3 linked regions of the Arabidopsis thaliana genome follow. The protein of the gene in region 3 purifies or fractionates together with the protein of the main gene of each other region. This does not show direct contact. Each region holds a gene or a part of one and is shown on either strand. Other genes may lie near its edges.

Region 1 (5,799 bases), 4.4 Mb from region 3:
TTTGGTTCTGTGCAGGGTGCATCAGTGGTGGTGCTGGCTAATCTGAAGCCGAGGAATATGAGAGGGGTTAAGTCATGTGGTATGCTTTTAGCTGCATCTGACGCAGCTCATGAAAATGTTGAGCTTCTTGTTCCACCAGAAGGCTCTGTTCCTGGAGATAGAGTTTGGTTTGGTAACGAAGAAGATCTCGAGCAGCTTCCTGAACCTGCACCTCCTAATAAGGTCATTTAGCCTGCAAAGCACTAATCATTTCAGTACTGCAAGACTTAAGTCATGGCATATTCAAGTTCTGTGTTTTCTTTGTTGTTTCAGGTTCAAAAGAAGAAGATGTGGGAATTGGTGCAACCACTTTTGAAGACAGATGCGTCTGGTGTTTCAATGCTTAAGGAGCATTTGATGCGGACATCTTCTGGTCTTGTTACTTCCAAGTCTTTAAGAAATGCCAACATTTCTTGATTTCTGTTAAAAGCTATTTTGTGATGTTGTTTTGACACAAGAGAGAAAGAACAAACCGCTAAGGCGATTTTTTTCATTGCAATCAAACTGATGTTTTTGTTGATTCATCAAAGTAAGGTTATTACGAATCAAAAATAACTTTAAAAGGTACAAAACAAATCTCGAAATCGAATGTTTCCTCTTCGCCGGTGGTTTTCTCGGAGATCAAGCAAAGACAGAGAAGATATCACCATTGATGTAATTGTTGTCCACTAAGCTTACCAAATAGTAGCTGTTCTTCACCTGCATATTCGATTGGATCATACCATCATCATTACAGCTAAACCAATCTGGTCACTGAAAAGAAGAGAAGAAAAAAGAAGAAGATTCTTTACCTCCTCGAGCAACTTTCTAGAAGGGTCATCTTCTGGGTACAAGTTAGCCCAGCTTCTTGACCAAATCTCAAACGCTTCGTCTTTCCAGACTTTGAAACTGGCTGGATCCACGATCGTCGGTTGAATAACCTCCTTAGCTGGGAACACTCCCCAAGTAACTGCATTCACATCGGACTCACCGGTGTTTGATACCCAATTCTCTGATTTGTTCACGGCCATGTAGGTGATAGAAGGAAAAGCTTTGGATTTCTCCACAAGTGTGTCTAACTTATCCTTTGAACAGAAGAACTCCAGATAAGCTTTCTGGTAGACGTAACCACCAGGACCACCCCATCCTGCAAAGTATCAATTGCAATTATACATTTTTGTTATAAGCCAAGTAGATATTCCCAATGCAATTTAAACATTATGTTATAAGCTAAGACAGAAGCTCTAGAGGGTTTAAATAGGTTTTTAAGAAATGACAGATGAATCACAAGTCAAATAAGATTTTTTTTTTTGGAACGTTATGGTATGCTTTGTGATCACAAGTTTGAGTTTTCTTACCAATAGCTGGAGAATCGGATTTGGCTGCATTGACTGATGGTTGGCTATTAATGGTCAGGAAACCGTTGGAGTTGATTTTTCCGAGTTGCTCATTTATGATCTTTGTCTCTGGCTGGAGTCCATCTAATTCAGACCATGGGCTGCTTTTTAAGTTTCCAATGCAGAGCTCTTTGAATTTCTGATTTGTGACAGTTTTTACATGAAAATGTGCAAGTGAGTATGAGGGAAAGAGATCGAAACAATTTGTACGAGTGTCCGTAAAGTAAAGCCTACCTCTTGAACATCTTCAATGCTTTTCAGTGGGACGACCCATTCTTGCTGAAGCTTCTTGTCACGTCCTTTTGGGCGCGCAAACTATCAACACATGCATTTATATCAGCACTACTCATTGGCAATGAAAAACGCAGAAGAGATGGCAAGCAAAGCAAGCAGCTTCTTACAAGTGATAATGGTAGGGCTAAATAACAATATGCAAATACAATTTAAGCAAATTGAGAAGGCAAACTGAAAACAAGCCTTTCAGAATTCAAGTTTTCAAAATATAAAGTCGATATGTCAGAAAACTGATAAATATGTGGTACGTACCTGATAATCCGAAAGTGTACTGTATGCTGCACTGTGTGAATCACCCCAACGTCCATGTGGGAAGTCATTCCAGCCCTTTGTTCTAGATATGTAGCTCTTTGGACGGTTTGCCCTGCAAAGATAAAAAATGAAGTAACAGTATTATTCCTCCGCAAATATATCTTAAAGTTAAAGATCTGTAATAATACTCCGAGCAAGAGAAACAAAATGCAGGTTACCAGAAAATTGGGCGAACATCTTCCTTAGTACGGAAAACATTTGCAGGGCGTCTCCAAGGTAGAGAACGAGAAATTTTTGACTCATCAATCAGACCAAGGTTCTGCAATTTGAGCACCACTGTTAGGTTCTCCGGTATACACAATACCATGTGTTAAATATTACTACACAGAAACCAATTTAGAAGGAAATGAGAAGAAAACCATTAATATCCCAATAGCTGATTTGTCCACGTTCAATGTGTAGAGATGAAGGGAAGTGATTCCATGGGCCAAAATCTTTTTGCACATTTCTGTTGCAAAGTGAATTCCATAGGCTTTAACAGCCTCGTCATTATCCTTAATAGGCTCTAAGGCAGCAGTGAGCTCAGCGGGTATCTATGCAATAATAGAATCATGAGTGGAATATAAATCAAAGAAAAATGATATCTGAACACATTAGTCATAAGGCATCATCACCAAGGGTCTATATATATATCACCAAGCAACTAGATAGATGCAGTAAACTCAATCTCATCTTAAAGCCTTTAAGCACAAAGACGACATGTGTCTACAGAGCAAGCCATATCATCACACAGATGAAAGAGATCACAACATACCTTGGTCTTACAGAAACCAGCCATACGCAAGAACCCCTTGTAGTTGGAAATAGGCATAATTCCAGGAACAATGGGACAATTAATCCCGATTTGCCGACAATCATTCACAAACTTGAGGAATATATCAGTATCATAGAAAAGCTGAGTCACAATCAAATCTGCTCCAGCATCAACCTGTACCACAAGCCACAATCCACTAAACCCATCAAATCAAGACAACACAAACAATTCAACACACAAAATTCAAAACCAAGACACAAATCTGAACCTTTTTCTTCAAGTAAGCAAGATCACTCTGATAAGATTCAGGAGTAGCAAGTCCATCAGCTTCAATAACATCCGGATGAGCCTCTGATTCATAACACACAAATCCCCAATTAGAGATCAAAATCACAACAACGAAACCAACAATGAAATTGATTAAAAGGGAGCATTTTGATTACCAGGATAACCAGCAACAGTGATTCCAAAGTAATCACCATACTTGCTACGAATGTGATTCACCAGATCCAAAGCACAAGCAAATCCTCCTTCAACCTGAACAAACTTATCTTGTCCATGAGGAGGATCTCCTCTAAGAGCAAGCACATTCTGAATTCCATTAGATCTAATCGTCTCAAGCGCGTGATCAATCTTCTCAATCGGCATGTTGGTACAAGTGAGATGCATCATAGTCTCGACGCAGATAACATTCTGCATCCTAGAAGCAATCTCGAGAGTGAGATCAGCTGTGGATCCACCAGCACCCCAAGTGATATCGCAGAAGGTAGGTCCATAAGAGACCAATCGATCCATTCGTTCAAAGAGATTCTCGACGCCATCTTCTGTCTTCGGTGGGAAAAACTCGAAGGAGAAAGCTGTTTGGCCTTGCTCCGTCACGGATTTGATCTTATCAACCACCTTCATCGTTGAATCGAAATGAGATCCAAATCCAAATCCAGATTCGGAATTAGATAGGTAGAGGAAGTGGTGGTGGAGAGGCAAGTTTGGTCTCTCTGGTTTGTTTACTCACTCATTTATACTAATCTCTAAAAATGAAGATAGAGATCCAACAACTTTGGTGGTAACTGGTAACCGGTAAAAACTTTAGATAAAAAATTATATTATCAACATTGTTGTTTTTCTACACATCTATTTTGAATTTTCCTTTTTCTAATTACATAATATTTATCAATGTAAATATATTTTCAACAAAGAAATCCAAATTTAGCACAGCATTTCTGTTATCACGTTTTTTTTCTCACATTGCTATCACTTTTTATTGTGCTAAATACATATTTCCTCACTTTTGGAATTTATCTTTTCCATAATAGTAATTTTATCCTTTTCCTTTACAAAAAACTAGTTTTTATATTTTTCTTATTTTCCAACTAAACATAAGAAAAAGAAAATTTAGTTAGGTAGGTGAGCTACGACCCCACATTACCTACCACCGGTAACGGCAAATCCACTGTCGGTCACCGGCGCGTGGGTATCATCCGCTACAACGGACAGTAGGCTAGTGATATAGCAGCATTGCCAAGGAGAATCACGTGCTTAACAAACTCGAGTTATAGACAGAGCAAACCGGGTATGAGATTTTTTGTCTCTTAAATAACCAAAACCCCGGTTTAAAATCCAAAAACACTTTTCTTTATTTGGTCCAAAGATTCCACATACAGTGTAATGTACTACTGAACTACTGATTCAAGTTGGATACATACAACAACAAAGTCTAAACCTATTTGCCAACCGACACGGTTTGGTTGGTTACAAAATTTCTTGACAATTCAAGTGTAATCCTATGTAAGGGAATGAAATCAGACTTGGAACAGTCACAATATCAAGCAGTTACAACCTTCCAAACTTCTCTGCACATGTCGATGATCTCGGTAACACCATCCTCATACATGACCTGGACAAAGTCAATGTTCATTCTTTAGATTTCGTAAACTGAGATAGAATGTGAACAACAGTGTTGGCAATAAGTCAAATGAATAGATACCAAGTGCTTATTTAAAACTCATCATATTGTGTAATGATTCCAAAACACCTGAAAAATGTCAACTACTAGAGTCAAAACCTTCATCTGAGCCGTGTAATACTGTTCTTTGGTGTGGAAGAAATTGGTTTTTGAGAAAAAAAGAAAGATAGTTATACTTTTGGTTCATGGGACGTGCTAACCAGATCACCGCACCAATGCAGTCCCGGCAACATATTTTCCTCTGGCTATGATTGTTCCAAGCTTGTCCTGACGCATCCAAATTGGTTTCTCTTACCTCTGAATTGAGAAGCTTGTCGATAATCGAGCCAAATAATTAATACTAACCAGCAATGCGTCTCCCTCGAGTTTTTCCCTAACCATATGTTTGAAAGGACAAGTTACTGTTTAGCAATCACAGGATGACTAAAAAAAAGTAAGGCAAAGCTCAAATTTACCTTGGGCGTTTTCCAGGTCACTTTACATGCCACTGGCTTCACAGCTTCTTCTAAGGTTGTGTTCTTAGTTTTGCAAGGTTTTGCACCTAGCTTTTTTCTGCAACACACTGCACCACAGTAGCAATCTTGATCTGCACCAAACTGAACAAACCTGCTATATTTATTAGTATCACACAACTAAACATTTACATTCAAATACTTTATTGTTGTGATGCAAGGAAATGTTCTTACTGGTAATCGTAAGTCAACTGCTCGCCTTTGTTTATGAAACGGGTAGCAAAAATGCCGATTCTTGTCTCGCCATCAATTATCCTAAATGGGAACAAAAAGGTTCATGATCTATAACTTTGCTCAATTGTTTTGAACAGAAGAAAAGTGAGAAGATGGATAATAAGTTACAAACGAACCATTTCTGCATCTCTGTGTTAGGACTGCAGCTGTGATTGATGTATCTTGATTTATTACCCTTGTGAGTAGCATCAATCACCATGTTCCAGTTTATCTGACACAAATAGAAATTTGTCTCGACCTTATGATTCAGCTTCCAAAGCCTTTCTTCACAAATCTTGTCGTCAATAACTACAATAAGAAATGGATATAAGAAGA
Region 2 (5,305 bases), on a different chromosome or scaffold from region 3:
CTGAAACTCATGATGTCACTGACTTCTGCAGCTTCTGCAATTCCTCTATAACTATCCCCGGTAACCGGAAATACACGACCCTGGAATGTGCTTATGCTTGCTGCAATGTAGCGACACTGACCTCGTTATCCCAGCTGGTGAATGATGCCCTAATAGTCTCTAAGCAAAAAGGTTTCGATGTGTTTTATGCCTCGGATGTGATGCAGAATGAGAGTTTCTTGAAAGAGTTGAGGTTTTATCCACTATGTCGACAGTCGCACTACTATCTCTACAATTACCGTTTGAGAAATGCATTGAAGCCATCAGAACTTGGGCTTATTCTTTAGTTTTGTTAAAACCACTGTTCCCGCTCCCCAATGTGAACAAACTATGATCATTAAACCAATGTGTAGCCTAAGATTCCTCTTCCTGGATATCATTTGCAAGTATTATAAACAAAAGTTTAAAGCCTTTTTATCTTTTTGCGTGTCTTTTTGTAGTTTTCCTCTGAACTATCAACACAAACAAAATTTGCCGAAGAATTGTTTGGTTTTGGATCTTTAAGGTAGTGAAACTGATGCCTTTTTATCAATAACATTACTTGCACATCAATACTGTTATGGTAGACAGATGTAAAAAACAAAATCCCAATATTTTAGAGAAAGTACAAAAGCAAATCTTGAAAGCAGTAGGAAACCGATATACTGTAGTTGTCTCTTGATTTTCTCAAAGATCAGCAAACACCGCGAATATGTCACCATTGATGTAATCGTTCTCCACCAAGCTTACCAAATAGTAGCTGTTCTTCACCTGCATTTTTGGATCAAAATGTCCATTAGTCATTTTAAATAAACCATTGTCAAAAACAATAACAAATATGATCAGATCAAGAAAAATATAGAACTTACCTCCTCGAGCAAGTTTCTGGAAGGGTCGGCTTCTGGGTACAAGTTAGCCCAGCTTCTTGACCAAGTCTCAAATGCTTCATCCTTCCAGACGTTGAAGCTAGCGGGATCGACAATGGTTGGTTGAATGATTTCCTTAGCCGGGAAAACTCCCCAAGTTACAGCATTCACATCAGCTTGGGCAGTGTTCGATACCCACTGTTCTCCTTTGTTCACAGCCATGTAAGTAATCGATGGCAAAGCTTTGCATTTCTCCACCACTGCATCTAATTTCTCCTTTGAGCAGAAGAACTCTAGATAAGCCTTTTGGTATACATATCCAACAGGACCTCCCCATCCTGCAAATCATACACAAGCACAAGTATCGATCAATCACGAATCAAAACTCTGTTTGCTATGAGAACAGAGATATAACAGGACTGATTCCTCACCAACAGTTGGGGAATCAGATCTCTCGGCGTTGACTGATGGTTGGCTATTGATGGTCAAGAAGCCTTTGGAGTTGACTTTTATCAGTTGCTCGTTTATTATCCTTGTCTCTGGCTGGAGTCCATCTAATTCAGACCAGGGACTGCTTTTAAGGTTTCCAAGGCAGAGCTCCTTGAATTTCTGTTATGTGACAGTTTTTTTGCAAGATTATTGTAAGCGTCTGCATCTTTACAGGTGAAAGTGAGGGAAATGTGTGGTAGTGAAAAAATTGTTCTACCTCCTGAATATCTTCAACACTTTTCAGTGGGACAACCCATTCTTGTTGAAGCTTCTTGTCACGTGCTCGCGGACGTGAGAACTGACAACAAAAGCATTTAGTTCAGCAAACAAGCTCACAAGAAGATGTTACATTTAACAATCTAGAGCAAATCAAAAAGACCAATCGAAGAAATACCCTTCAAAACCCCTTTGTTATGAAATCTTGAAAGAGAGTTGTGCAATTACAGATGATGTATTGTAGTACCTGATGATCCGAGAGTGCACCATATGAAGCACTGCGTGAATCACCCCACCGGCCTTGTGGGAAATCTTCCCAGCCCTTGGTTCTAGAAATGTAGCTCTTTGGACGGTTTGCCCTTCAAAAGATTAGAAGAAAGAACAAGTCTTATTTTCCCTGCAGAGTAAAATATGTGGCTAAGTATAATCAGAACGAGAGAAACTAAGCTCTGTTACCAGAAAATGGGGCGCACATCTTCCTTAGTACGGAAAACATTTGCAGGGCGTCTCCAGGGTAAAGAACGAGAAATTTTGGACTCATCAATCATACCAAGATTCTGAAACAACAACAAAATAGTAAAGCTACTCCACTATCAGTATCATGCTTTACATCAAGTAGAAAAAGTGAGGACCAACCATCAATATTGCAAGAGCAGATTTCTCCATGTTCAATGTGTAGAGATGAAGAGACTTGACTCCATGAGCCAACATCTTTTTACACATCTCTGTTCCAAGGTGAATACCATAGGCTTTCACAGCTTCTTCGTTATCCTTGATAGGCTCCAAGGCAGCCATCACCTCAACTGGTATCTACATTAATATAATCATATGTAAATTCATCTATCTTTTTTTCACAAAAAGCACAGCTGGTATCTACATTAATATAAAGAATTCTCTTTGAATAGCTATCCAACAAACACTTTCTCTGAAAACAATAATATAATCAAGTATCTCAATTTCATCTAGCTGATCACGAAACCTTAAATACACTTTTTTAAAAACATATCCTAAGCTAGCAAACAAACACCTTTATGGAAAGGCAACAAGCAATATCATTCATCTCCTAAAAGGTGATTCATTTGCAGGAACTGGTGTTTACTAAACGATCAAAACTTACCTTAGTCTTGCAGAAACCAGTCATACGCAAAAAGCCTCTGTAGTTATTAATAGGCATAATTCCAGGAACAATGGGACAACTAATCCCAATTTGCCGACAATCATTCACAAACTTGAGGAATATATCAGTATCATAGAAAAGCTGAGTAACAATCAGATCAGCTCCAGCATCAATCTGTTCCAAGACAAACCCAAATTCAAAAATTGATGCAGACATTTAAGAACAAAGCAAAACAAAAACAAACAAAACAAACCTTTTTCTTCAGATACTCAAGATCACTCTGATAAGCTTCATTAGACGCAAGACCATTCTCACCAATAACATCAGGATGCGCCTCTGAAATATCAAAACACATAAAAATCCAATCTTTAGCTACAAATCACACGAAACAAAGAAATCAAATTCGAATTCGAGACATTACCAGGATAACCAGCGACAGTGATACCAAAGTAATCACCATACTTGCTACGAATGTGATTAACAAGATCCAAAGCACAATCAAAACCACCTTCAACCTGAACAAACTTATCTTGACCATGAGGAGGATCACCTCTAAGAGCAAGCACATTCTGAATCCCATTAGATCTAATAGTCTCAAGAGCATGATCAATCTTCTCAACAGGCATGTTAGTACACGTAAGATGCATCATACTCTCAACACAAACAACGTTTTGCATCCTCGAAGCTATATCAAGCGTTAGATCTGCGGTAGATCCACCAGCTCCCCAAGTGATATCGCAAAACGTTGGACCATAAGCAACCATTCGATCCATTCTCTCAAAGAGATTGTCGACTCCATCTTCTGTCTTTGGTGGGAAGAATTCGAAGGAAAACGCTGTTTTGCCTTCGTCGGCTAATGACTGGATCTTATCTATCACCTTCATCTTCTTTTCGAAATGGAGAAGAAGAATGAGAGACAAAGGCGAGTTCTTTCAGGTTCTTCTACTCACTGCTTTATAGTAAACAGAGAGATTCCAAAATGTTTGGTGAATTTTAGACTTTACCTTACCCGTCCACTTCCTTATATTATTTTCATTTTTAAGACAAAATCATACTTTAAATAAAGTATAATTACATAATTTACATTTAATCATTGTTTTGTGCGAAAATCCATGTAGTTAGACAACATGAGTTACATTTTTATGCTTGACAAAAAAAAACATTTTTATTAAAGTGTTTATTATTCAAGAGATTTACCAAACCATTCTAAAGTGAAAAAAATGAAGAATCCGAGTTATTTGATATTAAGATAGTCGAGTTGATATTAGTAAACAAGATGAGTTACATAATTATTTTAAAGGAATGTGATTAGTAAAAGATTTACCAACCACAATTAGATTTGTCGTTATCAATCCCCAACCCCTGCAGTCTATGCTTTTTGAGTTGGTGAACCAGAACCACACACCCACATCACCCACCTACTACCAAAAAACCAATGATCCATCACTTTTGTTTAACAAAAATAATCTACTTTTACCAAAAAAAAAAAAAAAAAAAAAAAATCTAATTAAAATTTTCCGTTTTTCACTTACAGTGTATCTTTAAACTTTACAAAACTTTTTCCAATTTAAAACTGTTATGTTGTTTTAGTAATTTTTCACTTGTTTAACTCATTTTGCATTTGAAGGAATTTGAAACGTTAATCGCTAAAACAAAACTGGTCAGATTTTGCAAACACCGGCTTTTGTCGGCGACACCGACACAGTCACACTCACACAGATGCACGAATAAGAACAGCACATGCAAACAAGAACAAACCGGTCTTTGGATACAAATTTTTAAAAGCTAAACCGGATATGAGATTACCGGTTCTTACAAAGTCAATTACACACCACGAAGGTTCTTGCAAGACATCATCATTTGAGATCCCCATGAAAAAAGAAGGAAGGAGAAGAAAGTACAGATGTGGTTACACAAGTAGATATATGATATCTCTTATAATGGTTGTACAAACACAGGTCACAAGTTAGACGCAACAAACAATGTCACTGCACCAATCCCAGTCAGTCAGACCCGGGTTTTTTGGGATACCTTTAGTTTACCAAGACAGGTTATTTTGGTTTCTCAACTTCAAAGCAATCTGCAGAAACATAGCAGCCAGGGTAATTTAATACTCTATGCTTCTGGGAGTTTTAATGTTTCATTAAGAGAGTGAAGAGTATAAATCACCTGAAAACAATATTAGACAATCTCCCAGTCTTCTCTCGACATGTCGACAAACTCGGTAACACCATCCTCGAACATCACCTGGACCAAGTTTAAAGATGTTAACAGAGAGGTCTTAATTGAGAATGATTTTGCCAAGTTCGATGGTGAGGAACAAGTATTGGCTAATTGTAATACCGAGTGCTTTCTTGAATACTCATCAAAATGTCTAACGAGGCCAAAACACCTGAAAATCTCAAAAGATAAAACATTGGATGAGAAAAGCATAGAATGAGTCATAAAACTAATCCACGAGTTCAAAACTCAATAAATACCTATCACTCGTGGGGCGAGATAACCTGATCACCACACCAATGCAATTACGCGAACATGTATCCCTTTGACTAAGATTGTTCCATGATTTTCCTGGAGAAACATGGGAATCCAAATTACT
Region 3 (5,596 bases):
GCGTTCAACATTTTTCAGTCATGTTAAAAATATTATTTAAATAGAAAACTTGTATCGAAATTTATTAAGAAATATAATAAATATTCAAAATTAGTATAATTTTTTGTCTGTTACAAAAGGAAAAATATATTTATCTGATAAACCTTTTAATAAAAAGTATTTTTTTCATACTTGTGATCAATTTTATGTTGATATTTTATTCTAAGAATATACTGTATATGAATTTAATAATTAACAACTACTTCCTTTGTTTCATATTAGTTTAAGGTTTTTATACACATATTAAAAAAATCATGAAAGTCTCATTTAATCTACCTCTTTTATATAAAAATATTATTAATTAAATATAATTGATTAAAATATTAAATATTTATTATTTGTATAGAAAGTTGAAAACAACACTTATTTTGAAAAAAATAAAAACTCTTAAACTACATTTATATAGAAACAGAGTATATATTTAAACAACTGAAAAGTTTTTAATTAATTATTGAGTTTTAACTCTTAATTACTTTAAGATATATATTTTCTAATTTTCGTTGCATTTTTCAGTTTCATGTTTGTTTTCAGTTTCAATAGAAATCTTGCAAAACCAAAATGAACACACAAGTCTCAGTGTAACAACAGCTATGTGATGAATAAACAACAATGAAAAATTTATTAGAAGTATCACAATCCGTTACTCAAATTACAAACCATGACCTTAATTATTACTATTGTAACTTTATAGAGTCTATTTCTTTTGTTTGAGCATTTATGATGCTGAAACCACACTCCAGAGATCAGATCCAGGCAGGCTTATTTAGAGCAGTGACGACTGCCTTGATCTGCAAGTAATTATTGAGACTGTATATGCCTTTCTCTCTCCCATTCCCACTCATCTTGTAACCACCAAATGGTATGGCTGCATCAAATACGTCGAAGCAGTTAACCCATACGGTACCAGCTTTCAAAGCCCTTGAAACCCTGTTTGCCGTGTCCAGATTCTTCGTGAAAACCCCTGCCGCTAGCCCGTACTTCGTCTCGTTCGCCCTCTTTATCACCTCATCCACATCACTGAACCCAACATCATAACCAGTGTTAAACCAAATCTATCATGGTTTCTGTTTTTTAATTGAATACATTTATCTTTAAAAAAAGTTTAGGTTTGGTTGGTTCGAAATTAGTTTCAGTTTACCAAATCTCTAACAACTCAGCCATTTTTACCAAATTGTGACTTATTTGTCTACTGGATCAGTTTTATTGGTAGCTCTATATACCTGAACTTCAAGATCGATTGGACTGGACCGAAAATCTCGTCTTGAGCGATAAGCATGTCATCCTGTAGTTGAACCAAGCGTTCGAGATTAATGCCATGGAGAATCGGTAATAGAAGAACATTAAAGATGTCTTAGAAGAGTTTTCTTTTTACCTTAACATTAGAGAAGACAGTAGGTTGGATGAAGTAACCTTTGTCTCCAATCTGATCACCACCACATTCAAGAGTAGCATTGCTTTCGATACCTGACTTTATGTACTTCATCACTTTCTCAAATTGCTTCAAATCGATCTATACAAAGTTTTTGTGAAAACGGAAATCACAAAACCAATCAACAAAGTAGAAAAGCTAAACTCTTCTTAATGGAAGGAAGGAATGTGTATGTGTTACCTGAGGACCCTGTTCAATGCCTTTCCTGAAAGGATCACCAACAACACGTTTCAATGCGCGTGCCTTTGATTTCTCAACAAACTCATCATACACTTTCTCATGAACAAATGTCCGAGACCCCGCGCAGCAACATTGCCCCTACAAAAACATTACTCAACATTATCTCAAGAACTAGCTAGGAAAATGAGTCAGCTTAGCTCAAGGTGAATATATTCTACTATTGACAAAACCTGGTTGAAGAAGAGGGCAAAGTGTGCAAGCTCTACAGCTTTATCAATATCAGCATCTTCGAATACGATGAACGGTGATTTCCCTCCAAGTTCCAGAGTTACGGGCTTAAGATTGCTGTTAGCAGCCAATCCAAGTATAACTTTCCCCGTATCAGTCGATCCTGTAAAAGCAAGCTGAAGCAAAAAGAAGAATGTAAGATAATTTAGTTTCTTAAAGAAGTTAGCAGCAAGTAAATAAATATATCTACCTTGTCTACATCCATATGACTCGCGAGGGCAGCACCTGCTGTTGCACCGAATCCCGAAACAATATTCAGAACACCAGGAGGAAGACCCGCCTATCATAAATTTCACAAGAAACATTGTTACTCATCAAAGTTTTTCTTTTCCTAGAGAAGACAATAGGAGAATCTATCGGATGTATCTTACTTCAAGGAAAAGCTTTCCAGCATAGAAAGCCGTGAGAGGTGTTTGCTCAGCGGTTTTGAGGACAATGGTGTTACCACAAGCAAGAGCAGGACCAACTTTCCAAGCAAACATCAAAAGTGGAAAATTCCACGGTATGATCTGTCCAGCTACACCTATCGGTTCATGTAATGTGTGAACTTGATAGTTTCCATCAGCTGGAATTGTTAGTCCATGAATCTTATCCGCCCATCCTACACATCAAAGCAAAACCAAGAATGTTCATTCACAGAAAGTAACACCAAAAGCACCAGAATTCTCAAGATTTAAGTTCGTTTTATGATACCAGCATAGTAACGGAACAATCTTGCAAACATGGGAATCTCTGCGGTCAAGGATTGTTGGTAAGGCTTGCCATTGTCCCATGTCTCTAGAGACGCGAGCTCTTCGCTGTGTTTCTCAACCAAATCTGCAAACCTCAACAAAACTCTTGACCTTTCCTGAAACCCAAAACAATAACCATATGTGACCATCCATATCACATTAAAGTTCATAAAACTGAAGACTCAAGAAGAGTAGTAATATACATACATAAGCACTCATTTTAGGCCAAGGTCCTTCATCAAAGGCCGTCCTTGCAGCTTTCACAGCTCGATTGATATCTTCAGCATCGCCTTCAGCTACATGAGCAATGACTTCGCCTGTCCTCGGATCAAGAGTCGGAAACGTCTTACCTAAATCCCCAAATCCAAATATCAATACTCAAAAAACTTTGCTTTTTTCTACCAATTCCTCTACGTGGGAGACAAATAAAAATGAAAACTTTAATCACCAGAAGCAGAGTCAACAAAGTTCCCATTGATGAGGAGCTGTGTGTGAGAAACTTGAACAGATGGGTTTATGATTTCCTCAGCAGCAGCAGAAGAGGTTCCAAATCTCCTTAAGATCCCTCCATTGTAACAATTTCTCCCTGAAAATTATCATCTTTACACATCACAACCTAGATTCGACATAGACCCACAAATCAAAGAATCTAACTTTCAGTCTATTTCATTGGACATAACGTTAATTTTGTAGAATTCAGCATAAGTTTAGTGATAAAGTAGAAACATGGAGATACAGTGGAAAATTCACTGATTCAGCAGAGAGATCGAACAGTGGTTTGTTTGTTTGTGTGTGAGATACCTTGAGAACGAAACAGTAAGGGAGAGGAAGCTGAAAAAGATCGAGATAAAAGAGAAGACACTCTACGAGCCGCCATGGATGAAACAAGTTTCAAGCTTTAAGCTTCAAAACGTCAAAGTTCTTATCTTTTATTCTTCGAATTCTCCTCCTCTTCTCTCTCTCTCTCTGTTTGATGGGATTTATAATTTGATTTGAAGGAGAAAGAATCCAACGGTTGAGATCTCCGGATATCTCTAACACATGTCGCTTAACTTACACTCTCTTGGTTTGTGTTGCCGTACTTTGAATGGCTCTATTTGACTAGACTGATTTGTCCGTTTCCTAATATCAAAGACAAAAGAAGCGATTTTTATTGCATAAGAGAAAAAAGAAATGTTTTTCTTTTTCCCTCTTAGAAAAATGAGATTCGGGAAAAAATAATTAAAATAAATTAGTAAGACAACAAACAACGTTGACAAATAAAAAACTAAAAGATAAGACAAAAAGTTGTCTTGCCGTGATCTCTGATTTTTTGGTATGTGTATCCATATGATTCAGACTCAATATGTTTTTTCTTTTTTCTTTCATATTAGATTTAGATCCAACTACAAATTAAAATTAATTAATTGTGGATATCATTTTTTGTGGCAATGTGGAAAAATTATAATGAAAATAAAGGAAATATCTATATAAATGCAAAAGTTGCTAGTTATGGTGTGAAGTCGTTTTCTAAGCGGTAGTTGTGTCATCTATTTGGTATGTTTTTCATCTTTTCTTGTAAATATAGGTTACTTTGCGGATTGTGATGTTTGTCCCTTGAAATCTTTCGACAAATAAAGAAAAAAAATCATCTGCTATTAATAAGAAGATTTAATTCGTACCATTTGAATACAATGAGAAAATTCTACTGCTCCAAAAGGTTACTAATCAAGAAAATGATTAAAGTTGAGAAAAAGGTGGTTTTTTTCTATGTGCTTTTTACAATATTATTTTCAGATTTCATTCTATATTCACATATTCATCTTTAAAATTAAATTATGGCATAAATGACAAATATATGGTTTTTGACACGATTGCGAGATTTAATCAGTTTATATATTAAAAATATCAAGCAATAAACTGAAAGGGATTACATATTTTTTTTGGTTTGCACAAAATCATGTAGACGAAGAAAAATACAAGTTGAAGTGTGTAATCAAAAATCATTTTCGTCCAATCAAATAGTGGAATGAGTCTATGACTATATCCTTTATTTTTCTTTTATAAGTGTCATTCTCATTATTTTTGACCAAAATATGGTCATTGCCCAAATTCAATTTATAATTAATTAATTTTTTAATTCACCTAAATTATGTGAAAACATAATTAGACTTAAACACAAGGTGTTTTATGAGTTTCAAAGCCCACTTTGTGTACCAATAAATGCTGTAGGAGCCAAGAGTGCGTTGGATAGAAATCGACATAATATCGACCGACGTCAAGTCACAATTACTTCAATCTGTAATAATGTTTCTTTGTATACCTGACTATTGGTTACAGCAAATCAAGTTAGTGTCAGAAATCCTAAATGCATTTGTCACAACAACTATCAGAAGAATCCTGGATCCTCTGGTTTAAACATTTTAGGCATCTTCAAAGTTGGATGATCAGGATCAATTCTTGTAGATCCTCTTTGGTTCCCTAAAACACCTCTCTTAGTATTAGCTGCGAACTTAGACGCTAATATTGTTGCACTCAAATTTTGATTATTGCTGCTGTTTTCGTCTCCGTTGTTATTATTACTTTCAGGCATGTCCTCTTCGAATTGATAGTCTCCATCATCGTCATAGAAGTAATCGTCTTCTTCCTCTTGCCTAGCTAACTCCATTGCTAATTTCCTCTTCATGTATCGCCTCCAAGCAGCTTGTATAAAACAAGTTCCCCATGCTCTCCATTGATGCGAATAGTATCTGGTTACAGTCAAAACATAAAGATCAAGAAACCTTATAGCGTGTGAAGCAAGAAACCTATATTGCTTATGAGACCATACGAGGATTACCTGAAAGCATGTTGGAGTTTCTTGCTGTGAAGACGTCTGAATTGGTTAGCTACGAATTTCAAGTCCTCTGCTCGGAGAGCGAAAGCTTCTACTTCGGAGAGAGTCCTTACG

The links.
Region 1: the proteins of ALDH2B4 (region 3) and MTHFR1 fractionate together in Arabidopsis thaliana (co-fractionation; one large-scale study listed by BioGRID). This does not show direct contact.
Region 2: the proteins of ALDH2B4 (region 3) and MTHFR2 fractionate together in Arabidopsis thaliana (co-fractionation; one large-scale study listed by BioGRID). This does not show direct contact.

The regions. Positions count from the first base shown.
Region 1 is NC_003074.8:22,149,185-22,154,983, reverse strand, and holds MTHFR1 (methylenetetrahydrofolate reductase 1), read right to left. Parts: upstream 3,821-5,799; 5' UTR 3,682-3,820; coding exon 3,219-3,681; intron 3,127-3,218; coding exon 3,044-3,126; intron 2,950-3,043; coding exon 2,776-2,949; exon of another isoform or gene 2,555-2,775; coding exon 2,381-2,554; intron 2,281-2,380; coding exon 2,180-2,280; intron 2,074-2,179; coding exon 1,962-2,073; intron 1,731-1,961; coding exon 1,650-1,730; coding exon of another isoform or gene 1,572-1,649; exon of another isoform or gene 1,555-1,571; coding exon 1,377-1,554; intron 1,166-1,376; coding exon 831-1,165; intron 741-830; exon of another isoform or gene 739-740; coding exon 661-738; 3' UTR 501-660; downstream 1-500. Other genes in the region: AT3G59980 (Nucleic acid-binding, OB-fold-like protein), read left to right, coding at 16-222, 313-456; histone-lysine N-methyltransferase ASHH4, read right to left, coding at 4,771-4,807, 4,915-5,005, 5,084-5,111, 5,194-5,344, 5,425-5,505, 5,601-5,772. UniProt on the Arabidopsis thaliana protein: The probable reversibility of the MTHFR reaction in plants suggests that they can metabolize the methyl group of 5,10-methylenetetrahydrofolate to serine, sugars and starch.
Region 2 is NC_003071.7:18,260,586-18,265,890, reverse strand, and holds MTHFR2 (methylenetetrahydrofolate reductase 2), read right to left. Parts: upstream 3,703-5,305; 5' UTR 3,591-3,702; coding exon 3,128-3,590; intron 3,043-3,127; coding exon 2,960-3,042; intron 2,881-2,959; coding exon 2,707-2,880; intron 2,400-2,706; coding exon 2,226-2,399; intron 2,147-2,225; coding exon 2,046-2,146; intron 1,949-2,045; coding exon 1,837-1,948; intron 1,672-1,836; coding exon 1,591-1,671; intron 1,494-1,590; coding exon 1,316-1,493; intron 1,223-1,315; coding exon 888-1,222; intron 790-887; coding exon 706-789; 3' UTR 545-705; downstream 1-544. Other genes in the region: histone-lysine N-methyltransferase ASHH3, read right to left, coding at 4,888-4,953, 5,050-5,098, 5,187-5,277.
Region 3 is NC_003074.8:17,716,300-17,721,895, forward strand, and holds ALDH2B4 (aldehyde dehydrogenase 2B4), read right to left. Parts: upstream 3,871-5,596; 5' UTR 3,545-3,870; coding exon 3,469-3,544; intron 3,254-3,468; coding exon 3,116-3,253; intron 3,018-3,115; coding exon 2,875-3,017; intron 2,784-2,874; coding exon 2,630-2,783; intron 2,538-2,629; coding exon 2,308-2,537; intron 2,217-2,307; coding exon 2,127-2,216; intron 2,053-2,126; coding exon 1,879-2,052; intron 1,787-1,878; coding exon 1,649-1,786; intron 1,550-1,648; coding exon 1,412-1,549; intron 1,322-1,411; coding exon 1,260-1,321; intron 1,057-1,259; coding exon 783-1,056; 3' UTR 565-782; downstream 1-564. Other genes in the region: CNGC16 (cyclic nucleotide-gated channel 16), read right to left, coding at 5,036-5,396, 5,486-5,596. UniProt on the Arabidopsis thaliana protein: Possesses activity on acetaldehyde and glycolaldehyde in vitro.